Linked DNA regions of Caenorhabditis elegans. The protein of the gene in region 1 purifies or fractionates together with the protein of each later gene. This does not show direct contact. Each region holds a gene or a part of one and is shown on either strand. Other genes may lie near its edges.

The links.
Region 2: the proteins of nlp-91 (region 1) and C11D2.7 fractionate together in Caenorhabditis elegans (co-fractionation; one large-scale study listed by BioGRID). This does not show direct contact.

Annotation. Positions count from the first base shown.
Region 1 is NC_003284.9:8,222,046-8,230,544, reverse strand, and holds nlp-91 (Neuropeptide-Like Protein), read left to right. Parts: upstream 1-5,528; 5' UTR 5,529-5,642; coding exon 5,643-5,863; intron 5,864-5,937; coding exon 5,938-6,154; 3' UTR 6,155-6,230; downstream 6,231-8,499. Other genes in the region: K02A6.3 (F-box domain-containing protein), read left to right, coding at 368-725, 966-1,066, 1,118-1,236, 1,940-2,066, 2,118-2,279.
Region 2 is NC_003282.8:6,152,066-6,160,699, reverse strand, and holds C11D2.7 (PUA domain-containing protein), read left to right. Parts: upstream 1-5,303; 5' UTR 5,304-5,307; coding exon 5,308-5,373; intron 5,374-5,419; coding exon 5,420-5,644; intron 5,645-5,711; coding exon 5,712-5,978; 3' UTR 5,979-6,076; downstream 6,077-8,634. Other genes in the region: unc-77 (Sodium leak channel NALCN), read left to right, coding at 252-387, 560-833, 1,838-2,231, 2,308-2,379, 2,786-2,872, 2,991-3,098, 3,147-3,257; C11D2.4 (Queuosine 5'-phosphate N-glycosylase/hydrolase), read left to right, coding at 3,809-3,916, 3,965-4,059, 4,140-4,800, 4,854-5,024; C11D2.3 (BLOC-1-related complex subunit 5), read right to left, coding at 6,077-6,230, 6,277-6,474, 6,886-6,966, 7,706-7,881, 8,071-8,180, 8,245-8,263.

The DNA.
Region 1 (8,499 bases):
CATATTGAAGAAGAAAGAGTGTGATCCCAGGAATTAGATATTTACCTAAAACAAAAATTGCTTTTCGAAAAACATGTTCAATAATAAAAACTTGCACTCCCGGGATCCGCAAAACTCTAACTGACAGACCTATTAGGACTTTTATATGGATGAATGCTGCAATGTACACTTATCCAACTGAAGATTTTTTGTTACTTTTGCGTGATTTGTCAAAATGGCCCTCTAAAATGGGCCTTTTTTTAAATAATTTACTATAATTCGGTAAACCCCCAATCACTTTTTAAAAAGGGATGGCTCTGGGACCTGGGATCACACTTTTCGTGCATTGACTCACTTTTTATCTTATATTTCTTATGTTTCTTTCCAGCTTCTGGAAAAGTTCTATGAGAAGTTGACGTATTTGAGTCTCCTAAACGTGACGCTCTATCCAAAGCCATTACTTCAAGTTGGATGTTTTCTGAAGCTCAGAAAGCTGTTGGTGTCGCCGCAGATGTTGAGCACCGACACGCTTTCCGCCATCGCTTGCCTCGAGCATCTGGAGACCCTCTCCATTGTTCAGGTAACCGCTACTCCATACTCCCTTTTTCCTCCTACTTCATCAGCTACTGATTCCTTTGTGTTTCAGGACGAAAAAAGTAGCCAGTCGACGGATATTTGCCGGAATGCGTGGGACATGTTCGTCAAGCAGAACATGGATCGAACACGTGTCTGGCTTATCCTACGAGGTTGGCGTTTTGTGGAAATAATGAGAGGGGTCGAGAGTTGGGCTGGATGTCTGAAAATATTCAACACGTAGTGTTCTGGTGTCAATCCTAGAGATTTAGTCAGTTTCTCTCACAACAAAACTTCTGAGAAAAATAACTGAAAATCCAATGCACGCTTTGCGGAACTTGATATTAGTCACTAACAATAACACTACCAACTAATTGTAAATACCTTGAATTCTCCAACATTGTGTTTTAAAGGAAAACCCAAAATGTCACTGATTATCCAACCAGGCGCCCCGATATACGGAATAAAAATGGAAAACAGTGCCGGACAGCTGACAATGGAGCTTGCAGAGCAGGTATTTTGCAGTTTTTTGCAAATAGTAAAATGACGTAATCTTGATTTTCAGATTGCAAACTACTACGGTGCCACACTTCGCCACTTCATTCAATGTGGATTAGAAAGAATGAAAAGAGGAAAGAAAATGGAAGAACGTGTTGACTCCGCGCTCATTGAAATTGTTAGCAGGTACAGAATTTTTTATTGGCTTCAAAATTATTGTAGCATAATTAAAGTGCACAAAAATCGTTAGAAATATCATCTACTCAGACTTATAACAAGAATTTTGAAAAAAAAAATTAGTGTCAGTTGCTATAATTTTTTCGGAAAAGATATATATATAGTTTAGAAAATCCACAAATATAGTAAAATTGACGTTTTGTTGAAAAATATGTGACTTACTATTATAGCATTTGAGCTATAGGTGTTCCAGGTGAACTACAGAAGTGAATTACCGAAAATCTAAAACAAATAGCATATTGGGCGGTGTTGTTTGTATCTTTTCTAAACTTCAATCATGTACATTCCTAAATCATCAACGGTTTTCCAGAGTAAGAGGAAATTTGTGCAAAACTTTCATTTAAACAATCTCAAAGTTAAAAATTAGTAACTCGTCGGTTCCGTTAAGCAATTTCCTTGTCGATTTAGATTTATTGATGAAAAACTTGATTTAGTTCCAACAAAACCGTGGGTGGATCTTTAAGAATGAAAAAATTTAAGAAAAATATTCAAATCCTTTATGTCTGACAGACTTTCTGTTTTAAAATACATACTTAACGATTAGACTGGTGTAAGCATTGACTGACGTAGAAGTTGTTGTAGATCTTTAAAATCAATTGAAAACTGCTTTTGCTCGTGTGACGTATGCGGTTTTAAACTTTTTTCTTTACAGATGCCCGAACTTGGAGCGGCTTGCCTGTCGTGAAAGAATGTCCTATGGAACAGCAGTGATTCTTTCGGTGTACGCAGAGAGAATTGGCTTTGGATTATGGATTAGAAAAAATGCGCTGTTGAAACGAGTGAGATTTAATGCAAACCAAATTATTAATTAACAATCTTTTAATTTTCAGATTTGCTGGTGCCGACTTGATATGGAAGCGCAGGCAATTCACTTTGACTGGCTAAAGGCAAGATGTCGTTCCGAAGAGCTTGTTATTGTAACAATTCAGCGTAACACGAATCAAATGAACCCTGTTCTAGATGACAAATCGTACAAATCACTGTGCTTGTAAATCTTTAACGCTTGTAAAAATGACATTTCCCCAATTTCTTGTCCAAACTGTCCTGAGTGATTATTGTATTTGAACCCGTTGCTAATATTTGTATTCAATCATTTATATGTGCCTTCCCATCTATGGACTATCTGAATATAGAGTTACTAGTAATGTATGTATAAAAGTGTGAATGTATAAATAAACGTGATAAGTATGATTTTTGTTTTCGAAAATCGAATCAAGTTTACACATTTTAATCTGATTCTTCTGCAAAGTTACAATTAAGTTTCAATTTGTGCGACGGATACAATCGCATCAAAGCTGTTTTCCATAATTTTCAATGTTAATTCAATATTCAATGTTTGGTTAGATTGTTTAAAAGTTGGCAATCTTTCTGGAAACTTTTTGGAAGCATTTAATTTTTCACATATCTTGTTTAACTAAGCCAAACAGTTTAGCCATTATATAAAATAAACTTTTGAATAAATATTCATATTTAAATAGTATATTTGAATGTTTTTATGTCCCTTTCACTATAGTCTGATTCTTGACATGCACATTCATTCAAGAACTTAGCTTCACCTGAGTATCAAACAAACAATATGTAAAGGTTCCAGTGCTTCTAATGTGACGAAATTGGTTGACATTTCTGAAAAAAATGTGTCCGAGCACCTGCTTTGGTGTGTCCACAAAATTTGAGTAAGTTCCTAGGTATGACTTTTAAACTATTTCGTGTGTTGTACCTCGCTCGTAGACAAAATTAATTCATTCGTTTTACAGAATTAATATGTATCTGACGTAATTTTATAAAAATAGCAGTAAAATTTTCAAAACATCTAGCAGCTGAAGAATGGAACATATTTTTCGGTTGTTTTTGTGTTTTTACAATTTCCAAAAATCATTGTTTACAAGTTTTGTAATTTGTATTTCTTATTGGAATATAATGCATTTTGAATCACTCGAGGCATATCGTGAATCAGCTACCACTCAACAACAAATTTGGAAAACAATTTGCTTTGAGGAAAGAACGATCTTAGAAGTAGATCTCACTTAAGAACATCAGAGAACCTTGTTCCAAGTAAACCGAATTATGATTCAAAAACTAAAGAAAAAAACATAAACTTATTATTTCAAAATTTTCAAGTAAATTTATAAATGTGTTGTAATGTTCCAGTTAAATGTGGTCAGAAACCGTTTAAGTTGATGTGTTTCATTAATTAGCAAAAAGTGTTCTAATAGCATTGGCAAAGAATGACGACCAACTCATTGCGTTTAGATTTGACAATTTTCTCTGTATTTGTTTAGAAAGAGGGAGTACAGTCGCATCAAAATCTGTTTTCCATAGATTTCAATGCTAATTCAGTATACAACGTTACATTAGATTGTTTATAGGTAAACAAACTTTCTTGAAGCTTTTTAGAAACATTTCATTTTTTGAAAAAATCGAAAGATGGATTTACTCAAAGAAGAAGTTATTTCCCAAAACTTCCAGAATGTTCACCTACTTGAAAACAGCCTTCAAATCGTTGAGCGTCTGCATAAACAACTTTCGAACAATACTTAGGGCCTCGAAAAGTGATTACTTCCAAATAACATGTGTCTTGTTAAGAAGTCTGAGAGAGTATAATTTAAACTTTTTCTTTTTCAGCCCAAAAATAAAGTTTTGAAGCAATTTGAGGCACGAACATTTTGAATGCACGAAATCCATTAGCACCTTTTTTCGTGTTATGCTGGAAGGAACTTATATAAAATGTCCAAAGAAATGATAATTTAACCAAAACTAGAATTTGATTTGCAATTTTATGTTTTGAAAACACTACTTCTAAGCTCATAAGGTGTCACGTAAAGTTTTCAAAATGGTTAACATTTTTTGGGACAGGTATACTACACAAGTATAATACATTTAATACAGTAGCAAAGTCCAATTGATGTTTTTCCGGTTTTTTAGACTTTTCTTGATAAAAATGGTGAAAGTACTTAACCATCCAACTTTGATAACTGCAGTTTTTTGAAAAAGTTGATTGTCTTCATCAGATGGAAGCTCTAATTGTTGTTCAAAATCGTTCGAGACAATTTTTTGAGGTTTAGAAATAATTTATGGTTTTCAAAATATTTGTTTATTTTATAATGAATATATGATTGAGTACAACGTTGAAATTTTCAACTTTGCTCTTTGATAGAGCACCAATAAAATTTAATTTGAAAACCCATTTTTTGGGATAATTGATTTGATATGACAAAGTTTATCAGTAATGAGATAGACGAGGTATTTTGGTCAAAAACGCCTACTCTTACTTTTTAATCGGGAATTACTGGATTATATCTGGATACTATGGAATCACAATTTTAGTATGTTGTTGGTCAGCAATGATAAAATACCCGAAATTCCTTTCACCACCAAGAACGGATTAAATCTGCAAAATGAATGAATGGACTAGTTGTTTTTTTGAATGAAACACCTCCAGTTGATGATTTTGTACACATCACTTCTGTTTGGTTTTTGCTCTGTCCACCAACAATTAACCCAACTTTTCTTCGCTAATTGCTCTGGCTGCTAAAACAAAACGAAATTTGTGTTGGAAGAACAGGAACATGGAAAAAAGAGTTTGGAAGCAAAATCACGAAATATTAATAAAAACCTGAATAGCTTTGTCCATATATAAAAAAAGAGTATTGAGAAAACAACAATGGTTTTGAAAATAATAATTTGTAAAATAAAATGTCCATGTTCAATTATTCAACCTGCTCCCAAAAATCAAATATGTTTAAAACTATACAGACGATCTTTTTAACATTTTAGTTATGATTTTGATATTTTCTATAAATTTTTCGAAAATCAAACAATCTATCAAGAACTTCCAAAAAGCCACATAAAACATTTTAGCTTGGTTTTTTGTTCGGCATTTTTCAACAACCTTTCTTGGTGCACAAAACGTTTGTGAATAATTCAACAACAATTTTTCCATCCGACTGCTTATCCATTATATTTTGCAAAATAATTTTTTTCATGACAAAACTACTTTAACATTTTGAACTACACATTGATTTCTGCATTTTTCAAAACTTCTTTGATTCAAACCTTAAGCAATGAGTTGTGATTCATTCAAATTTTCATAAAATTGGAAACATCATTCGCCTCAAAAAATCATTTGTAGTTTCTAGCGTCTGAGAAATCCAGAAATCCAGATCATCCTAGGCCTCGCCCCTTTCCTTGTAAGTGCGGCTATAAAGGGCGGTGCTTTTCAATATCTCTCCCATTCATTTTCGGCTCCAGCTCTAGCCGCTCCACGTTCAGTCTTCCTGCTGAGCACCGCCCCCTTTTCTTGAGCACCTATTTTTTCTGCAATTAGCGGTTTATTTAAAAACTATACGCAGTTCAGAATGTCGTTCTCTTTCTTTATCATCGTAGTTGTATTCGCCGTTCCATGTGCATCCAATATTCTCATGCCACATAGCTTTTTTGCTACGAGGTCCGAATCAGCAATGGGGAACCCTACGAACTATCAAGCAATGAATGACGGAAAAAATAATGAAATGATTCCAACCGCTTTTGAGGGGCCCAAAGACGATCTCGAAAGTGGAAACATCAATAATTTTGAAACGTAAGTTTGTCATTATTTTTTTTACAGCACTACTTCTAAACATAATAATTTCCAAATTAAACTTGTAATTTTAGTGAACATGCTCGAAACTGTTTCTTCACGCCGGTCCAATGTATGCTGCCTATGACCGATTCTCACAAAGACGTTCAATCACTCCACGGTGTGTATTCTCCAACCGCTACCCAAGTTCGCCGGAGTGTTGACACTATGCTTACCTCTCCATGGGGATATACGGATCTTATCAAACGTAACGGCGACAACCGATTCCTCCAATGGCTCAACAGATTTTGAGTCGAAAATTTCTGTTTTTATTGTAATTTATTGAGCTTCCTTTCCCCCGTTCAATAAATCAGTTATCGAGCATTTGTCTCTTTGTTTTTTTGTGGTCCCAATACGGGTTTTACAATTAGAACGCTTTCAATAAAGCTTTTTTGTTTGATTCACAACAACAACCATTATACAAAAATTAATTCATTGCATGCTTTTGACCTAACATGAACAAAATAATACAATTTGAGTAATTTTATGCAAAACCAAAAAATAACATGGTTAATGCGTATTGTTAGGATGAACTGGAAATTAAAAAAAAGAGCGAAAAAAAAATGCACAAAAAATATCAGAATTGTTTATTTCTTACAGTTGCGTTCTATTTCAGTTGCATTTCATCAATAGATATGCCATGTTTTTTGCGACAAATTAGAAAATTGTAAATTTGAACGTTAAAAATTCAAAAATACCAGAGCCACTAACTCCTTCACTTAAGAAGTAATAATAGGAAAATATTGTTGTTGTAATTTTCGATTTTTTTAATTTACTTGAATACTTCAATTGAATAATCCAAGCAATTTTAAATTAATTTACTCAATGTTTAGCATAATGATTATAGTTTTCTATAACCGTCCGTGTTTATTTCGATTTGATTATAAAGTATGTATATGATCTAACCTCTCAACTTCCGTGTAAACTCTCACGGCACTTCATTGAAAATATCAAACTGCGTAACGTACTCGGGATTATTTAAATGAATATCAAAAATAGCTCAATCCCCCTACGCTGTTCTCGAAAATATAGGATTTAAATAGCAAATCCACACCGAAAGTTTGAAGAAAGTGATATTATTCATCTTACACATTTCGTCAAGCACTATTGGATTATAAAAGTAACATTGAAATATGCCAATGTTACAGCAGACAATGTTGCACTCGGTGCATTTTCGATACCGCAAACTCTAGAGCAAACTAGCTGGGTGATTCAGATGAAGCACATGCTTTCATTTTGTATTCCTCACTACATTCTACGTGTCCCAAAAAGCGGATGTTTGTTATAATTGAATTTCGTTTTTAGGAAAAAAAAAACTCAAGATGGTAGTCGAAAATGTTGAGTTTGTAGTATCTTGGATTTCAGAATCTTGTTAGAATCCAAACTTGAATTTTAAATTATTTATTGAAAATTCAAAGTCCCTACAATTTGCGTCATTCATCCAACCTACAGACTCTAATTCAAATGATGTCATGTCATTTTCAGCAAGAGAAGTTTATGAATAAGCGACTTTGAAGATTATATTGGAGCTTGGAGGTCTGAGAGGAATCAATTTGTCTGAACTTTATTTCTCGGAGAAGCTGGATCAAACATGCAAAATATCATTGAACAGTTGGAAGTTCCGGTACTTGTGTGTTATTTCTCCTCAGTATAAAATTATTAATTTTAATGAAACTTTATGTCCATTTTCCCTCTTTTGGTTTAGAAATAGAGATTTCCTAAGCCTAAAAATACAAAAAACTACACACGTTTTATTTATAATTTTATTTATTTTTAATCAGGAAAAATAAAACACTAGTACCGGAGTTCCTTATTATAAGTGAATTTAGTATCAGTAAATTTTATTGAAATGAAAATAATCATGTTTTGGAGTTTATTAAACATTTAGGAATACACAAAGTTTCCTTTTTCTCTCACTCACAGTTTCAATGTTTTCCAATAGAGTGCGCTAAAAATATGTATATTTCGAAATTTCAAAGAAATAGTGTAGTCGATCTATACTATACTCTCTACTACCTTTACTATACTACTCTATACTTCGAACTATACTGGAAAATTCGTATTCGAATTTTGAACAGCTCGTACGACTTTTTTTGTCCCAAATATTTTTCATTCCGGATTTAATAAATTTAACTTCTTTTAACCCCTTTTTAAAAAATTGAACAATTTCGAACTTCAGACAGAACTACATTTTCCGCAGCCAATAGTTGGAATCTGTAGATTTAATTTCATTGGTTACCTGCATAATTTTTACTTGAGATTTTGTTTTGAAACTAATTTCACCGTGTTTACTTTTCAATCGATATTCAGAATTTTATGCTTAATTGCCAAGTTTATTTTTATAACCAACGAAAGCAAAAATAAGCTAATTCACAGTTTCCCATGGACTAGAAATTATCGTAATTTCTAGATATTACTCGGAAGTGAGACAAACCACACACGTAAATTACAACTAGGAAATTGTATCAAAGTAGAACCAAGTTTTATTTGACAATGAGAAAAGTTACACAATGAGTAGATCAAAAAAGTGTGTTTTGTTTTCTTTCCCTGTAATTTGAGATCTTTTTCATGGCATAAGACTATTTCTTGTAGTCCTC
Region 2 (8,634 bases), on another chromosome or scaffold:
CATTTCTTGCTCAAACACATATTTGCTGTCGGTTACCTACTTTTGTTGGCCAAATTTAAAACTTTGTTTTTCTTCTTATATCAGAAAAATGCTGAACTACATTTTAAAGTAAATAACGTGAAACTGTTGTTTTTTTTTGTGTTTTCCCATTTTTTGTCATATTTCAATTGCAAAAACAAATTATATGACAACTAAAGTCTACTTTAACTTAAATTTCAGTAAATAAAAGTATTTTATCTGTCTATTTTCAGAGAAGCGCCCCATTCTGTTATTGGAATGAAGGAATGAATTATTGGGAGACTGATTGTGGAAATTTCTATGGAGCAATCATCTACTTTTGCTCTTTTTATCTCATCATCACGTATATTGTCAGAAATCTTCTTGTTGGTAAGTTTGAAAAATTAACGATAATAAATTGCTATTTAATTCAAAGTATGTATTGTTATAATTGATTTGAAACTGATTTTTTTTTCAAAAAAAGTCTGTTTCACGGAAGTTATTTAACTAGATTTATGTAGATTTATGATTGGTAAACATTTTTGAATCCAAAAATTTGCAGCCGTCATCATGGAAAACTTCTCATTATTCTACTCATCCGAAGAAGATGCTCTTCTCAGTTATGCAGATATTCGAAATTTTCAATATGTTTGGAATATGGTTGATCAAGAACAAAAACGAACAATTCCAGTAGAAAGAGTAAAGTTTCTATTGAGATTATTGAAAGGAAGACTTGAAGTTGACCCGGAAAAAGATCGGATTTTGTTCAAGCATATGTGCTACGAAATGGAACGGTTGCATAATGGAGAGGAAGTTTCATTTCACGATGTTCTCTAGTAAGTTGGAGAGTCAGACCAATGAGAGTTACCTGAAAGGCGTGGCCAACGTCTCTGATTGGTTAGCACGACTTATTTTTAAAATAATTGCATAACTTCTTTCAAAGCAGATAAGTTCAAGACTATTAGAGGAAATAGGCCAGAAATGTGTACGTACGATTCACAAAAAGCAGATTAATTTTAGAACGATATTGCAATTTTTAGGAAAAATACAAAAAAATTGAAAAAAGTTGGTCAAACGTTTCGAAAAAACTCACAAAACAAAGACTGAAAACGCGGGGACACTTCAAAAAAATCAAAATAGTCTCGTAAATATCTGAAAAAAATTTCTTAAAAACCACCTAGATTAAACTTTTGAAACTTTAACAGAAATAATTGTCTGCTTTTTTAAAATAAATAATATAAAAATAGACAGAGTTTTATTTTATTAAACCAAAAATGCAGATTATGTATCATAAGTTTTAAAAAGTTCAGACTTTAAGAGATAGTTGACACAATTTTATTTTATTTTTCCAGTATGATATCATATCGATCAGTAGATTTGAATGTAGTATTTTTCAATTCTTTTTCCTTCTGTAAGAATGTGTTCAAACAATATTTTTTTAAAGAAACTAGAATTTGTTAGGTTCATTTCCATCTATTCATTCCATACAAATGGAAACAATTGATGTTTTCAGCAAATTCCGATAAAACTTGAAAAATTATTTTGACAGTATACTTTGATTTAGTCTGTGACAAAATAAATATCAAAAAACAAGAACTGAAAATGCTTTTTACACTTCTGAAATTTTTTTAAACCTCGTACATTTCTGTAAATTGCGGAAAAAACAGATATTTCCCAAAAACTGCACGAATTAACTTTTTGAAATTTTATCGATAGAACTTGTTGTTTTTTTTTTATAAAATAAAGGATATTTGAAATGAGAATTACAATCATAATATAGGTCTATAAGAAGTTCAGACTTTAAGAGATGTTTGAAACAGTGTTATTTTACTTTTTCCAGTATGCTATCCTATCGATCAGTTGATATTCGAAAATCTTTGCAACTTGAAGAATTGTTACAAAGAGAAGAACTCGAGTTTATAATTGAAGAAGAAGTCGCAAAACAAACAATCAGAACATGGCTGGAAGGATGTCTTCGTAAAATGAGAAATCCAAGTCAAAAAGATGCAGAAGGAGTACTTCCATTTGGTGGAGGACATCCGGTTATTCATTCATCAGGACATTCTTCAATTTCACATGAGGAAACTGTTGCACAAAGACTTCGATTTGAAAATATTCGAGGAGATAGTGTTGATACAGAAGAGACGGAGAGTAGTGAAGAAGAAACTCCACCTCCAATAAGGAAGAAGGCTGCTGTTAAGAATCGAAGAGGAAGTATTCCAGATGTTCTTTCGGTTAGTTTTTGAACTAATATTTGAGAGTCAAAGATTATAAGCCTAACTATTTTTAAATTTCATATCCAATTTTCAGAGAACTGGTCTCTTTCAAGAAGCTGCTCGAAAGTTCATGGTTGGTAGCTCGAGTGAGAAAAAACAAGTCAAGGTATTTTTTGAATTTCTAAGTATACTTTTTAAATGATGAGTGTAGTTTGTAGTTTGTAGTGATTCATGTCCTCTGTACAGTCAGAGTTTTGTTTGGTTTTTATATCCCATCTGAATAACCCCCAAACTAACTAACCCTAACTAGACACTTAACAGTTTTATTAATTGTATTCTTAAAAAATTAAATTTTTACTAATAAATCTATATATGGTTATATCTTACTTTTGATAAAGTTGTAGAAGTTTTTTGATAAAGTTGCAACGTTAGATTAACCGCAAAATTCCATCTTGTTTAATAATTGAAAGAGTAATATTTTTATTTCAAATTTAGTTTTTTAACTGCTTCACACAAAACACTCCCAGCCTCCACCCATTTTTGCCTACCGCTTTTTCTTATTTCCATTGCAGTCGCGATCGCCTGAAACCGTCCAGTTGCTTCCGAAACGAGCTAATTCTGAAATCCGAAAGGGTTCCGGACAGCCAAAGAATTTTCATGTGAGTTCGTGTCAATGCCTTTTTTTATTTTTATTTTTTTAATATCTAGTCTGTGTGTTTTGCAGCTTAAAGTAAAATGTAAAATGTTGTTTTCGTAATAATATATTCCAAATTTCAGCTCCAGCTAAACGTCTATGATCTACCTGACGTAGAAGAACGTGGAGAAGATTCTCCATTTTCTCCCAAAAACTTGTCTGATGATTTTAATGGAGAGCATTCACCATTGGTAATTCTTTCACTTTCATTTTCTTGAAATGGTTTTCAAAACTTGTAGGTGATAACTCCATCCTTGCCTGTACCACCGACACATGGAAGCCCTCGACCACTTATGCCATGTGAAACGACAAAAGATATTGAAAAATGGTGGAATTCCCTTGTTGATTAGTTCATTTTTTAATTATTTACATTCTCTTGTTGATCTATCTTTTTTAATGTATTCAGGTTATATTGTTACGAGGTATTCAAAAACGCTTTACGAATATTAATTGTGCTTTCACCGAATGAACAGATTTTTATTGGTTTCGTATATAAAATTTTTCAGATGTTTTCTTTTCAGGTTTCCAATGTAGTCCTTAATTTTGTACGATTAATCAAGAAAAATGTTTTTATTAGCGAAACTATTAGTGGGTAATTTAATTGATTTTTAGTTAAAGAAATACTTTTTAAAACATCTGAAAAAGCTGTAAAACGACGACTTTAATTTTTTAAATATAAAAATACAGCATTTTTTGTCGAGAAATAAAATGTGTTTCAGTCTGCATTGCGTACACGACACTTTAACGTACGACAATTTGCTAGGCACTGTGCAGAAGGAGGAGACGCAGAGACACATCTGCGGAGCGTCGTAACAAACACGTTTTTCTCTTTAAAATTTTTATTTTCATTTTTTACTACTCGGTAGAATTGTCACATATTTTTCACTTTTTAGGTCAGAAAATGCTTATTGACGAAGTCCTCGGTCCTGCGGAATCTGGAAAATTCATCGTCGAGCATGGAAATCTCGTCAAAATCAACCAGGCAGGCGTTCGAAAAGTAGCAGAACATGTAAATCCTAAAAATAAATGTTGAATGAATGTAGATTAATATTTATAGATTCTCGGAGCTGCAAAAGATGGATCTCTGAAAGAAGCTCTTTTCTTATCGCCGGAATTACACCCGAAAAGTGGAGATAAAGATGCCGTCCAGTGGTGAGAAAACTTAAATTGTAACTATTCCTCAAATCTGATCTTTTTAAATTTGAAATCATATTAAATTGAATTAATTTCAGGGTATTATTGGTGGATACAATCAATTTCTCATTCTGGCCGGATGAGGGAGATCACTATGATGTTAGCTGGGGTGGAAAAGCTTACACTGGTTACTTCGCAGCATGTGCCGCTGTCAACAAGGCTATAGCCGCCGGAATTCCAGTACTTTCTGCTGAATGGATGAAAAATGTTGGCAGAGAAGAAATCGACAGGATTTTCAAATCCGATTCAGGACACTCAATTCCACTACTTGACGATCGAGTGAAGGCTATCAATGATTCAGGAAAAGTTCTTCTCGAGAAATTCGATGGACAATTTTATAATTGTGTTATAAAATCAGAGAAATCCGCTCAAACTTTGCTGAAATTAATCGTCGAAAACTTTGTCTCTTTCCGCGATTTTGCCGAATTCAACGGACAAAAAGTTTCGCTTCTGAAGAGAGCACAGATTCTCGTTGCGGATGTCTATGGATCCCTTCAAGGTCACGATGATGCGGGAAATTTCAAGGATATTACCACGATCACAATGTTTGCTGACTATCGTGTTCCGCAAGCTCTCGCTTATCTTGGTGCTCTGGATTATTCAGAAGAACTTTTGAGCCAATTGGGTGAAGGAAAACGATTGGAGAATGGATCAAAAGCGGAAGTTGAACTCAGAGGAGCATCTATTGCAGTTTGCGATGTAAGATTCCAGATATTTCTGAAATTTTGTTGTATTAAACGCTAAATTTTCAGGAAATTGTCGCCAAGATGAACGAACTTCGTGAAACCGATCCAAGATTCTCTGATGTTTGTGAAGTTAACGCCATGGAAGTTGATGTCTATGTCTGGGGATATCGTCGACTTTATGCTGCGGATGTTGAAAAGAAAGTCCCGTTCCACAGGACTCGCTGTATTTATTATTAAATCTGTATATGTAAATATTAGTATTTAATTTTTAGTGTGAATTCTAGTGATTTTAGCTTTTCGTATCATCTTCTGTTTTCATTCCGTGTTTTTTTTCTTTCACAGGTTTTAAATACTTTATTTAACACATTCCATTGACACTTCACTTTGAGCCTTAATTTGTTATATGAATTTTAACATTGTTTTTATTTTGCTGAATTCTTTTGTTTTGGTTGTATACCAATTTTTTAAACTTATCCTTGTTTTCATTTAGTTCAAATCTTACAATTTTTTTTCAAGAACCATGTTCAAAAAATTCGACGAGAAGGAAGATGTGACAGGCGCTACTCAGCTCAAGTCCAGTGTTCAGGTATCATCTTTAATTTTAATTAACTAATAATTATAAAAATTTTTAGAAAGGAATTCGCAAGAAGCTGATCGAGAACTTCCCCTACTTGGAGCCACATCTTGAGGAGATCCTCCCGAAAAAGGAGAATTTCAAAGTGATCAAATGCAAGGATCACATTGAATTGCTCGCCGATCATCTGGGTGTCGTGCGATTTGTTAAAACACGTAACACTGATTACATTCCAACTTTGAGAACACTTCACAAGTATCCATTCATTCTTCCACATCAACAGGTTGGTTATAAATTGATTATTTACCTGGTTCAACATTTCCATTTATTGATGAAAATTCAAATTTCAGGTCGACAAAGGTGCCATCAAATTCATCCTGAACGGATCTTCAATAATGTGTCCTGGATTAACATCGCCAGGAGCTAAACTCACTCCTCTCGTACCAAAGGATTCAGTGGTTGCTGTGATGGCTGAAGGAAAGCAACATGCGTTGGCAATTGGTTTGATGTCAATGAGCAGTGAGGAAATTCAATCTGTGAATAAAGGAAACGGAATTGAAAATCTTCATTATTTGAACGATGGGCTGTGGCACTTGGCTGAAAAATCGTTGAACTGATGTGCTCGAATTCCCGGTCGTCGTGCTCTTTATCAGACTTCCAATAATTTGAGATGATCTTTATTTTATATGTCCATTTTGGGATTTAATTTATATTTTCATGCACTTTCTTTTGTTGTATCTTTTCCTTTTCCATCTCGATTCTCATAAAATTTCCAAAGTTTTCCGTCGAGTTTCTTGATTCTCTTTTCTTCCCTTTCAATACGCCACGCTATTTCTTCCAGTTGAGATTCCTCATTTTTGCGAACTTGCCTGCAATTTCTCAACATCAGAGCGAAACAAAACAAACTTCACTTACTGATTCGCGTGATGAGTCTGTCGTAATGCGTGAAGTTGAGTTGTCAAGCTGCTCAACTTAAAGGCTTTCTCCGAGAAATCATCGACTAAAACCTGAAAAGAATTGTCCAGAGCACATTGATACTTCTCGGTTACTTCATTGCAAACAGCCAAGCATCCAAGAGCCTCACTGATTTTATTATTCTGCTGCTCAATGTTCCTGGAAAAATTATTTTTGCATTAAAGTACACATGAGCAAATATTATCTCGCTAGGTATTTGGCGGGAAAACTGAAAATTCGAGCGATTTCTAAATATAATTATTACCATTTTCTAATCATTCTCCGTCTATTTTGATGTGTTTCCTGCTGGCCTAAACATGCATTTATAACAATTAATTCGGCACGAAAATCATTTAACAAACAACAGAAAAAATAACAAAAATGTTTGATAGCTGACAAAATCGGCAAAACTAACTGAAAAGTTTAAATTTACAGTCTTGGCACCTAATACGAGACCCAACTGTGGGAGGCGGGGCGGTTTTAATTGGCTGTGGAGCGCGTTTCCACATCGATTTCAAAGGGAACATTCTGCTCCTTTGAAATCTCTTCTGCGTCCCCATAATAACTCACAATTCAATAGCATCAAGAAGTCCCCGCTTCTCGAAATAGTTTGTTCTCTGAGCATGTAGATTTCCCTGGATTTTCGCAAATCTAAATTGAAATTTCTGAAAAGAACTTTCTCAAACCAGGTACCGGATATCTCGTCGCGATACTACAGTAATCTACAGTTCATCATACTCCGGCAACAGTATGATCGCTATGAGATATTATCGAAAGAATACGATCGCACAATTTTCTCATAATTTATTTTTGATTTACCTTGTTGACTAGGCTCCTCCTCTTCCTTTGACAAGACAGCCACAACAAAATAACAACGGCAACAAGATCAACAGGTAGATCAAAAATATATTATGAGAAATTTGTGCGATCGTATTTTTTCGATAATATCAGGGAAGTGATTATGTTCAGTAATTTTTGTAATTTATAAATTTTGGAAGATTTCACAAAAGCTATTAAATAACTTTTTTGCGGGACAAGAGACTAATTGCAAATTTTTTAAAGCTTTTGTTTATCTCAACCGGTGAAACAGTGAAAAAGCTTATGAAACATTTGTGAATTTTTATACTTAAAATTCTCATCAATTCAATCTCACAACACGAATATGTGTAGAATTCGAAGCCGAAAAAAATATTTTTTTTAATTTAGCCGCCTTAAAAATTCCAAAGATAAATTCCAAGAATAGTCGCGGACTTCGTGATGAAAAAAAAAATTTACTGTTTCAGAACTTTAATATCTTTTCATATAATCAGGATAAAACATTCAACCACCATTTTTTGGAAGATCCTATAGAATACAAATCGAAAAAAATGTTGTTTAATAGTAAACTTACGAACTGAACGCTCTGCTCAAATAGTCAACATCGTCCATTTTTGGTTTTTCACTGATATAGTTTGAAAAATATTGATTATCAATGCACAATGACGGTGTAATTGTTGGAATCGGAGGAAGTGATGGTCCAGGATCAGATGGTATGGGTTCATCTTCAGAAGGGACAGAGGTTACTTTCTGTAATATGAAAAGTTTCTAGTTTTCCATAGATATTTTTAATTACTCATGTTGTGGTTATTCTTCACAATAAACAAAACATTCAAGCGGGTCTCACAGCGAAATAAATTTTTTAAATATTAAACATTAAGTTTTCAGTCAAAAAATGTACTGTTACGTTGAAATGTTACTATTATTCAGATAACTTACTTGACCTTGTTTCCCTTTTGACTGAATAGAAGGTAACTTCACATATGAGATCCTCCTCGTTGATTTCTGCCATCTCAGTGTTGATGAAGAAGCACCAGGTTTGTTAGAACCTTCAACAAAATTTAATTTTATCACAGGTCTAAAGAGAAAACGTAAGAAATATAACTTTCTTACCTGCAATCGATGGGAACATTGAAACTTTTGAAAAGCAAAAATAAACTCAAATTTTGAGCAACATTTTGAGCAGCAGTGAAAGGTTACTGAACCAGTTTCAAATTTTATTTAGTGTCATGGCATGGCTCTGGTTGAGTTGCAAAATTGTCCAGTGAACTGGAAGCATAATTGGCAGAAAATAAAGGCTTGAGTGGAAAAAAAAATTAAAAAGTCAGGGCCAAAAGTGATTATGAATACGGATTTTTTGAAATTGCACGTTCATATATGACGTCACGCCTCTGCACGCCACTTTAAAATTCACGTATTTAGACAGCTTCAGATACCCACCAAAATGAGAGACACAGTCTCCTCCCAGCTTCTTCCTCTGCAAAACACCGAACAACAATTTAC